2 linked regions of the Ovis aries genome follow. The protein of the gene in region 1 interacts with the protein of each later gene in a pairwise test. Links are inferred from orthologs where the notes say so. Each region holds a gene or a part of one and is shown in the gene's direction. Other genes may lie near its edges.

Region 1 (5,934 bases):
TCTTATCCTCTGTAGCCCCCTTCTCCTCCTGCCCTCAATCTTTCCTAGCATCAGGGTCTTTTGCAAAGAGTTAGCTCTTCATATTAGGTGGCCCAAGTATTGGAGCTTCAGCTTCAGTCCTTCCAATGTATATTCAGGGTTGATTTCCTTTAGGATTGACTGGTTTGATCTCCTTTCAGTCCCAGAGACTCTCAAGAGTCTTCTCCAACACCATATTTCAAAAGCATCAATTCTTTGGCACTCAGCCTTCTTTATGGCCCAACTCTCATATCCATACATGACTATACAGACCTTTATGAGCAAAGTGAAGTCTCTGCTGTTTAATATATTGTCTAGGTTTGTCACTCCAGCACTCTGCCCAGGAAAATCCCACGGATGGAGGAGCCTGGTGGGCTACAGTCCATGGGGTCGCGAAGAGTTGGACACGAATGAGTGACTTCATTTCACTAGCTTTGTCATAGCTTCCCTTGCAAGGAGCAAGCATTTTTTAACCAAGAGGTATAAATGGCCCAAATGTTCATCGACTTATGGGTAAATAAAATGTTGTCTATTTCTATGAGGAATGTTATCCTGTCATAAAAAAGGATCAAGCACACATGTATGCCACATGTATGCCAAGTTGGAGTCAGACACAAAAGGCCACCTATTGTGTGATTCCTTTTACATGAAATGAGCAGAACAGCCAAAGTCATAGAGACAGAAAGCAGAGCGGTGCTTGACAGGGACTGGGGAGGGTCTACCCAATACTACAAGATTTCCTTTTGGGAATGTCCCGGGACTAGATAGTGGTCATAGTTGTACAGTGTTGTGACTGTACTAAATGTCCCTGAATCGAACACTTTAAAATGGTTAATTTTATATTATTTGTTACATGTAATAAAAAAAAAAACGTACCTGTTAAGGATTTCTAACAGGGAGGCCCCTAGAGCTTCCCTGGTGATCCAGTGGTTAACAATCCACTTGCCAATGCAAAGAACATAAATTTAATCCCTGGTCTGGGACTAGCCCACGTGCCACAACTACCAAAGCCCATATGTCCTAAAGCCAGTGCTCCTCAATAAGATAAGCCATTGCCAAGAGCAGCCTGCCCACTGCAACAAAAAGTAAGCCCCGTTTGCCACAACCAGGGAAAGCCTACATGTAGCAACAAAGACCCAGCTCAGCGAAAAGTTAACTAATTTTTAAAGAAGAGTGAGGACCTCAGACTGTGCAGCACTGGGTGTTACCAGTGTTGTAAATCTTGGCTGATCTTGCAGGTGGGATATTTGTGTTTTAATTTAGAGCCTTTTAATTATCAGTGATATCCAGTAGCTTTTCAAATGTTGATTGGAAATTTGAATGGACTGTGTGCTTGTGTTTGATTCTATTGTATCATATCCTGCTTTAGTTGTAAAGGCTTTCAACTTTTACATTGCAAATATTTTCTAGCAGTTCAATATCTTCACTTTATATGCCAAAAATATTTCTTTTGGGTTCTGATTGAAGTTACATCAGGGATGGATTGATCCAGAAAGAGTGGTAATTCAGTCTATAGCTCTGAGTTTCTTGCTTACACCTCTCGGGTCCCAGTGGATATATGTTGTGTGTGTTCTTTGGTCAAGTTTTCTATTTCGCTCGCAACTTATCTTCTTAGTAATGCTCTTAGGTATAGTTTGGGCTGCGGTAAAGCTAGGCATCTTTCCCTATGTATTCTCACACTGTCAAGGCTGGCGTGAAGTGGGAGCGGCTGCAGTGGCTGGGAACTTGTCTCACGCTCAGCCCCTCCCTCCGTGAACGTGACTTAAGAACCCTGGCAGGCATTCAGCAGAAACTTGCGTCTTGCATCCTCCACAAGTTTTCTGGAGCCAAACAAAGAACAGATGGGAAAACAGACTCTTGCAACGTACTCACATGTTTAATGAGTAAAAGCTAATTGTAGAAAACACAGCAGCCCTAATGAGGGTCAGCTCCAAACAGCAACAAGGAAGGGAGAGCGTGGGAGCCTCCGACCAGGGCCACGCGCATACTCAGGGCGGGTATAAAAGCAGACACCCTCAGCACTTCACTCACACACTCACACACACTTACACCTCCTCCAGCCGTACCACCTCCACCATGGCCTTCTCTAACCTGTCTGCTTGCTCCAGCGACCTGAGCTACAGCAGCCGGATCTGCCTGCCTGGATCCTGTGACTCCTGCACCGGCTCCTCCTGGCAGGTGGATGACTGTCCAGAGAGCTGCTGCGAGCCCCCCTGCTGTGCCCCCAGCTGCTGCACCTCGGCCCCCCGCCTGACCCTCCTCTGCGCCCCAGTGAGTTGTGAGTCCAGCCCCTGCTGCCAGCCAGCCTGCAGCAGCTCCTGCCCAGCCTCATGTGGCCAGCAGTCCAGCTGCCAGTCCTCCTGCTGCACCTCCTCCCGCTGCCAGCAGGCCTGCTGTGAACCTGTCTGCTGTGAGCCTGTCTGCTGCAGGCCCGTCTGCTGCAGGCCTGTCTGCTGTACACCTGTCTGCTGCACACCTGTCTGCTGCAGGCCTGTCTGCTGTGAGGCCTCCCCCTTCTCAACCTCCTCATGTTGCCAGCAGTCCAGCTGCCAGCCCTCCTGCTGCACCTCCTCCTGCTGCCAGCAGGCCTGCTGTGAGCCCGTCTGCTGCAGGCCTGTCTGCTGTACACCTGTTTGCTGCAGGCCCGTGTGCTGTGAGACCTCCCCCTGCTCAGCCCCCTCATCCTGCTGCAGACCCTCCTCTTCCGTGTCCCTCCTCTGCCGTCCTGTGTGCCGCCCCGTGTGCGGCCCCACCTGCTGTGTGCCCGCCTCCTCTTGCAAGCCCAGCTTCTGCCGCCCGGCCTCCTCTGTGTCCCTCCTCTGCCGCCCTGCGTGCCGCCTCGCCTGCTGTGTGCCCACCTCCTCCTGCCAGCCAAGCTGCTGCCGCCCAGCCTCCTCTGTGTCCCTGCTCTGCCGGCCTGCATGCTCCCGCCTGGCCTGCGGCATCCCCACCTCAGCCCCGGAGCTCTGCTGCTGACCGGCCAATCACCCGCCCTCCACAAGCTGCTGTCTCTCTCCCAAGCTCCAGGAGCCCCTCTGCTGGCGCCAGGACCTCCCCTCTCCCAAAGTTGGACACGCAGCTGCTGCCCAGAGAGGATTCGAACTTGGCAGGCATCTCAGAAAGCCCTTGACAGGGTGGACTGTGGGGCCCCAGGAGCCTCCTCTGCAGGACAGGCTGCTTGAATCCCATATGACAAACATCAGCTGCTCTAATGAATAAAGCGTTTGTGTCAGGAAATATGGACCCATGTCTGTTTTGGCCTCCTCCCTTGGGCCCCCTCAGCCCCTCCAAATATGGCCTGTAGGTGCTCTGCTGGCAGAAGCCAGGCAGTAAAGACACATTCTCCCATCCGAGTTCAAAGCAGCTGAGAAACAACAGGATCTGAAAGCTGGTGCCATTCACACATTCTATGTCCCTTCCTACCCCAGGCTCACTCTCCCTGCAGTGGACGGCCCTTCAAGGCTGACATGGAGGCGGGTGTGGGTGCAGAAGGCTCAGATCCTGAGTGGGCCCTGGGTTCCTCCCCCTGCCCATGCAGGTTGAGGGTGACTTGGGGAGCAGCAGAAACCCTCCTGGGTCTGGATCGGAGAGTCCAGGGTAAGTGCTGTTGGAGAGACGTGCCAACACTGAGGAGGAGATTCTGGGGGCTCCAAGGGGGTGCAGTGTCAATTTAGACATCACTCATTCTACTCAAGGTTTCAAAGCCTGACCGAGGAGGGACAGAACAAAAGAGACGCCTTGTGAACAAACCCTCAGGACAGTAGGGGAGAAAGAGCCTGCAGTCTTAGTGGACATTAGCAATAGAGGAAGTGGGCACCAGTCAGCACCAGTCAACTACTTATCCCCCACCAGAAACAGACTGATGAGGCCCATAGGAGCAGGAGAACAGTGGTGGCTGGGGCAAGAGGGACCAGGAACTGAAGGCATCTCCCCAGGGGATACTATCCCCACCCCAGCTCAGTTCCATCCAGGAAAGAGGGAATGGAGCAAAACCCTAAGAGGACTGGTAAACAGGTGTCCTGCCTCAACTCGTAAATCTCTTTCCTGAGTTTACTCAAGACAAGTACCATTTTTCTCCTTTGCCTTTAGCTTCTTTTCTTTTCTCACCTATTTGTAAAGTCTCCTCAGATAACCATTTTTGCCTTTTTGCATTTCTTTTGGTTGGGGATGGTCTTAATCACTGTCAAGTGATCAAAGGCAAAGGAGAAAAGGAAAGATATACCCATTTGGATGCAGAGTTCCAAAGAATAAAAGGAGAGATAAGAAAGCCTTCCTCAGTGATCAGTGCAAAGAAAAAGAGGAAAACAATAGAATGAGAAAGACCAGAGGTCTCTTCAAGAAAATTAGAGATACTAAGGGAACATTTCATGCAAAGATGGGCTCAATAAAGGACAGAAATGGTATGGACCTAACAGAAGCAGGAGATATTAAGAAGAGGTGGCAAGAATACACAGAAGGACTATGCAAAAAAGGTCTTCACGACCCAGATAACCACGATGGTGTGATCACTCACCTAGAACCAGACATCCTGGAATGTGAAGTCAAGTGGGCCTTAGGAAGCATCACTATGAATAAAGCTAGTGGAGGTGATGGAATTCCAGCTGAGCTATTTCAAATCCTCAAGTGTTGCACTCAATATGCCAGCAAATTTGGAAAACTCAGTAGTGGCCACAGGACTGGAAAAGGTCAGTTTTCATGCCAATCCCCAAAACAGCAATGTCAAAGAATGGTCAAACTACCACACAGTTGTACTCATCTCACATGCTAGCAAAATAATGCTCAAAATTCTCCAAGCCAAGCTTCAACAATACGTGAACTGTGAACTTCCAGATGTTCAAACTAGATTTAGAAAAGGCAGAGGAACCAGAATTCAAATTGCCAACATCCACTGGATCATCAAAAAAGCAAGAGAGTTCCAGAAAAACATCTACTTCTGTTTATTGACTATGCCAAAGCCTTTGACTGTGTAGTCTGCAACAAACTCTGGAAAATTCTTAAAGAGATGGCAATACCAGACCATCTGACCTGCCTCCTGAGGAATCTGTATGCAGGTCAGGAAGCAACAGTTAGAACTGGACATGGAACAACAGACTGGTTCCAAACAGGGAAAGGAGTGTCAAGGCTGTATATTGTCACCCTGCTTATTTAACTTACATGCAGAGTACATCATGCAAAATGACGGGCTGGATGAAGCACAAGCTGGAATCAAGATTGCCAGGAGAAATATCAATAACCTCAGATATGCAGATGACACCACTCTTATGGCAGAAAGTGAAGAACGAAAGAGCCTCTTGATGAAAGTGAAAGAGGAGAGTGAAAAAGCTGGCCTAAAGCTCAACATTCAGAAAACGAAGATCATGGCATCTGGTCCCATCACTTCATGGGAAATAGATGGGGAAACAGGGGAAACAGTGTCAGACTTTATGTTTTTGGGCTCCGAAATCACTGAAGATGGTGATTGCAGCCATGAAATTAAAAGTCGCTTACTCCTTGGAAGGAAAGTTATGACTAAGCTAGATAACATATTAAAAAACAGAGACATTACTTTGCCAACAAAGGTCCATCTAATCAAGGCTATGGTTTTTCCAGTGGTCGTGTATGGATGTGAGAGTTGGACTGTGACAAGAGCTGAGCCCCGAAGAATTGATGCTTTTGAACTGTGGTGTTGGAGAAGACTCTTGAGTGTCCCTTGGACTTCAAGGAGATCCAACCAGTCCATCCTAAAGGAAATCAGTCCTGAATATTCATTGGAAGGACTGATGCTGAAGCTGAAACTCCAATACTTTGGAGACCTGGTGCAAAGAACTGACTCATTGGAAAAGACTCTGTTGCTGGGAAAGATTGAAGGCGGGAGGAGAAGGGGACAACAGAGGAGAAGGGGACAACAGAGGATAAGATGGTTGAATGTCATCACTG
Region 2 (4,795 bases), on another chromosome or scaffold:
TTCTCTATTTGGTTTTTTTTTTCATCTTTGATTTCCTTTTAGGATTTCAGATGCATGCCAGGTTTCCACTGATTGCCAGAAATCAAGATCACTACACATGGATCCCCAAAATCAGCATGGCAGTGGCAGTTCATTAGTTGTGATCCAGCAGCCTGCATTGGATAACCGTCAGAGGCTAGACTATGAGAGGGAGATTCAGCCTGCTGCTATTTTGTCCTTAGACCAGATCAAGGCCATCAGAGGCAGCAATGAATACACAGAAGGGCCATCTGTGGTGAAAAGACCTGCTCCTCGAACCGCACCAAGACAAGAAAAGCATGAGAGGACTCACGAAATCATACCGATTAATGTGAATAATAACTATGAGCATAGACCTACCAGCCACCTGGGACATGCAGGACTCTCAAATAACGCCAGAGGCCCCATACTGAGCAGGTCAACCAGCACCGGAAGCGCAGCCAGTTCTGGGAGCAACAGCAGTGCCTCTTCTGAGCAGGGGCTGTTAGGAAGGTCCCCGCCAGCCAGACCCATCCCTGGTCACAGGTCTGAAAGGGCAATCCGGACCCAGCCCAAGCAACTGATTGTGGATGACTTAAAGGGCTCCTTGAAAGAGGACCTGACGCAGCACAAGTTCATCTGTGAACAGTGTGGGAAGTGCAAGTGTGGGGAATGCACAGCTCCCAGGACCCTGCCATCCTGCTTGGCCTGTAACCGGCAGTGCCTTTGCTCCGCTGAGAGCATGGTGGAGTACGGAACCTGCATGTGCTTGGTCAAGGGCATCTTCTACCACTGCTCCAATGACGATGAAGGGGATTCCTACTCGGATAATCCTTGCTCCTGTTCACAGTCACAGTGCTGCTCTAGGTACCTGTGTATGGGAGCCATGTCTCTGTTTTTACCTTGCTTACTTTGTTATCCTCCAGCCAAGGGATGCCTGAAGTTGTGCAGGGGGTGTTATGACTGGATCCATCGCCCAGGGTGCAGATGTAAGAACTCCAACACTGTCTATTGTAAGCTGGAGAGCTGCCCCTCCCGGGGACTGGGTAAACCATCATGATTTTTGGAGGTGGGTTGGACCTCCTGAACTTCTCTTGCTTTCAAGCTGTGGCTGTTAAAAAAGATGCTGTCAGATACTGGTTTAATTTTCTTTGCAGTTTTCCCCTGTCCCACCTTTTTCCCCTTCTTTCCAAGGTTTGACTCATGGATTGTACTCTTCTCTAATGGATGATCTTCAGTAAGAGTGGACTGTGAAATGCATCTGGCTCCCCCTTATGACAAGAGCCTCTGCCATCCACTTGAGAGGGTATTGAGAGCCAGTGGGCTTTTGTGTAGCCTTTTTGTTCTGCAAGCAATTTTCCCAAGTTGTACACGTGAACATATCCACACATGTACACCCAGGCTACAGTGATTTAGAGCTGTTTTTGATTGGGTACTCTGGGAACAGGGAAATTGGTGTTTAAAGAAGCAGCCATTTAATTGCTTAAATAAGCTATATATTAAATCTGTCCCCAATTAGGGCTATCTTCATATCATTAGACACTTAAGTAGCATGGGAGATCTGTTTTTGTTACAACGTTAAGATTCTCCTTTAACCACTGCCCTCTCCTTCTTGCTTCTCAACTTTCTATCCCCTCAGTTTTGGCGTTATCATTTTTAGAGATGCCAGGGTTTTCTGTTTTGTTTTGTTTTGTTTTGTTTTTTCCTGTGTAATTTTAGGTCTGCTTTACAATGTAAGTCTTCACATTGGAGATATATTGGTTGTATCTTGCTCATCCTTATTCAAGCTTTCATATTTGTGAAGGACTCGACTCCCTCCCTTCCATACTCCTTGCTTTTCACCAAATTACTCTTGTCATTGACGGCACTTGGATAACTGAAGTTGATATTTATATCTGATCAATCTATAGATGTCACGGAACTATGCTGCCTGAAGTGATCTTGGCTCCTTAATGGTTTTTGGCCACTTGGTTAGTTAACAGCTGGGTAGTTCTAATCTTTTCTGTTTCATTGCCTTAACCACAAATTGTGGTGCTTTTTGTATATTTTATGTATAAATCACAAAGTTGAATTCTGACTATTTTTAAGACAAAAGTCTGTTAAACTTTTTTATTGTAAAGAATATTTATTATGCGAATCTCTATTATTTTATGATATTTATTGCAAAAGACTGTTGAAATGTACTCATGTCTGAATATAACAAAATATCAATACGTAACGGAAAATAAGGTGACACGAAGAAAGTACGTATGTTAACTATAATGCAGAAAATATATTAATTAATGAAACTGTCTCTTGATTTCTTCATTTATTAGTGTGTACTGTTGTGATTTTTGTCATTTGCTTTGACTCTTCATGCATACCCATTTTCTTTCTTTCCCTTAATATACCAAATCTAGATGTAGGTGAGCTCAAATCTTGAACTAGATGTTTCCTGGAAAATTCATTAATCAAGATTTTATATTCCAAATTCTGTTTCAACAAATGCCCAAGTGAATCACTTTACAAAGTGAAAAAAGTTTTTCTGTGATTAATATTAACAATTCCATCCCTCCGTTGGCTATTTTATAAGCAAGGGGTTTTGTGTATATCAATTTCTTGGAATGGGACATACCTGTATGTTTTAAATAATGTTTATCTTAACTCTTGGATTAGTCTGAAATTAATTTTCATCAGCAAAGCTTAAAAAATTAGTTCTGTAGCCATACTAGGAGTCTGTGGCACTGTCATTTTAATAAAACATTATAGAATTTAAGAGTGCATCAAGGGGATAGTTAACATTATCAAAGAGAAGTTTTAAAAACATTCCAATCCTTTTCATTCCTTTAATAAGTCTTTAATGTGCCCTGATCAAATAACATTGTGTCATGTCTCATGGAATTAGAAATGTGAGGGTGTGAAACTTTATATTAAAAAAGTACATGTTTTTAGTTTTTAGCCTGCTGAAGTCAGGACATAGTTAGAATCTTTGGGTCTGATAAAATTTTGTTCACGTGAATCCTCAGACTTGATTTCACTAACTCCTCCGTATGCCTAAGTGACGTGTCAAACCTGAATAATCAGCATTTGAGAATAAGATGTTGGCATAATTTGAATCCAGGATTTAGGCTGTCAAAACTCTTATCCAGCTTTTTTGTTTGGTTGTTGTCTCTTACATGATTTGACTACTAGTTTTGGATTATTTATCCTTTGTATTTATAGACTTTGATTTTGTTTTAATTAAATGAGACATAAATGATAGAAACTTTTAATGCATTTCCACCAAGCCACTAAACCTATTAGTTAGCATTGTGACATTTGGCTTAATCAAGTATTTTCTCTATGCTCTGAAAGCAGGAACATTTTTTAAAATTTCATAATCTATGGTATTTTAAAATGTGAATTTGTTTCCTCTTGTATTCAAGTTATGTGGTGATATCACTGGTCCCTGAATATTGAATATTTCATTGAGATTTGGCTCCTTAATGAAGCATGAATAGACTCCTTCAAAATACTGTGTAACTTTTTTCTGTTATTTAGACCCTTCGTATAATTAGGAATTGGTGTAAGAGCTGTCTGTAGTTAAACTAACCAGACTAAGAAGCTATGGCTTTTATTGAAAGAAATTTATAACTTTTATGAGAATAAGGTATGTTGTGGAGTTTTAACTTCTGACTATCTGGGGAATACATTAAAATTATAATATTAAGATGGCAGTCTGCTGCTTCCAGGGTTCTGTATGCACTCTGGCATAATGTCAAGCTCATATTTGGAAATAGCAATAGGTTAGGAGTTCAGACTTCTAACATGCTTGTCAGATACAAAGAATAAACACTTTGATTCAAAACTTCCTCCTTTGTGATGGTTTAAACCTAGAAGAAACAAATATTAGGATGTGTCTTCATCAGTGCTCATGAGTCCAATGTGTTTGAACTGAATACTGATGATCATTTTAAAGTGCTAAGGCTTTGAAAGCATTAGCACAGCTGACATTTCTTATAATACCCCTGCCATTTATTTGATACTGCCAAGTTAAAAATATCACACAGATAGATTAACCTTTCCCTTTTCCTCAATTTTGTCCCTCTTCCTCAACTGCCAAAGCCTGACAGAGTGAATATTTTTTAAGTAGTTCCTTTCCAGCATGTTTTCTGAGTGTTGTTCTTTTCATTCAAAGAAGTTTTATTTGGATAATTGTGAATAAAACCAGTACAAGATTTCTGTAATTGAGTAGTTTCCTGTCAACAGTTTAATAAAATGTAACTCAGCAGAAGTATGGACTATGAAAAAGTAGATATACTTTTTTGTGAAGGCTTGAGGTGAATCTTTATAATCTGTGATGATTATTATATAGTTTTCAAAACACAAATCGTGGAACATTCCAGTTATTACAAAGAAAAAAAAAAGAAAAACAGTGGTTTTTAAAGTTAAAGGAAATGAGTTAAAAACTAATGTTTTTACCCTAAAGTTAATATTGAAATCAAACTCAAGATTCATTTGCAAAAGATTGATTTAATTTTTGAAATTGTCTCCTTTTCCTGAATCTTCCCTTTTTTTGTTGAGTGATGTATTTCATGGTAGTTTTATGTATAACTCTTTAGCAAAAAGGCACAATCTCATTTCTGAACATTGAAAAATGGAAACAAAGAATGTCTAGACAGTTCTCATCTTAAACTCTGCCCCACCTCCCACTATATATATATATATATATTGCAAGAGAGTTTGGTATCATTTTTTAAATATCTTGAAGACAAAACTTTAAATCCCCCTTTGGCCAGTTGATAATTGGAGAACTGTAAAAACATTATTTCCCTCACTA

The links.
Region 2: the proteins of keratin-associated protein 10-12-like (region 1) and SPRY1 interact in binary tests that used the Homo sapiens proteins (3 or more experiments, as listed by UniProt). The two-hybrid records come from large-scale screens. The link is inferred for Ovis aries from reciprocal best matches to the Homo sapiens genes KRTAP10-7 and SPRY1.

The regions. Positions count from the first base shown.
Region 1 is NC_056054.1:262,543,848-262,549,781, forward strand, and holds keratin-associated protein 10-12-like, read left to right. Parts: upstream 1-1,944; 5' UTR 1,945-2,094; coding exon 2,095-2,994; 3' UTR 2,995-4,000; downstream 4,001-5,934. UniProt on the Homo sapiens protein: In the hair cortex, hair keratin intermediate filaments are embedded in an interfilamentous matrix, consisting of hair keratin-associated proteins (KRTAP), which are essential for the formation of a rigid and resistant hair shaft through their extensive disulfide bond cross-linking with abundant cysteine residues of hair keratins.
Region 2 is NC_056070.1:34,546,226-34,551,020, reverse strand, and holds the end of SPRY1 (protein sprouty homolog 1), read left to right. Parts: intron 1-42; coding exon 43-1,057; 3' UTR 1,058-3,823; downstream 3,824-4,795. UniProt on the Homo sapiens protein: Inhibits fibroblast growth factor (FGF)-induced retinal lens fiber differentiation, probably by inhibiting FGF-mediated phosphorylation of ERK1/2. Inhibits TGFB-induced epithelial-to-mesenchymal transition in lens epithelial cells.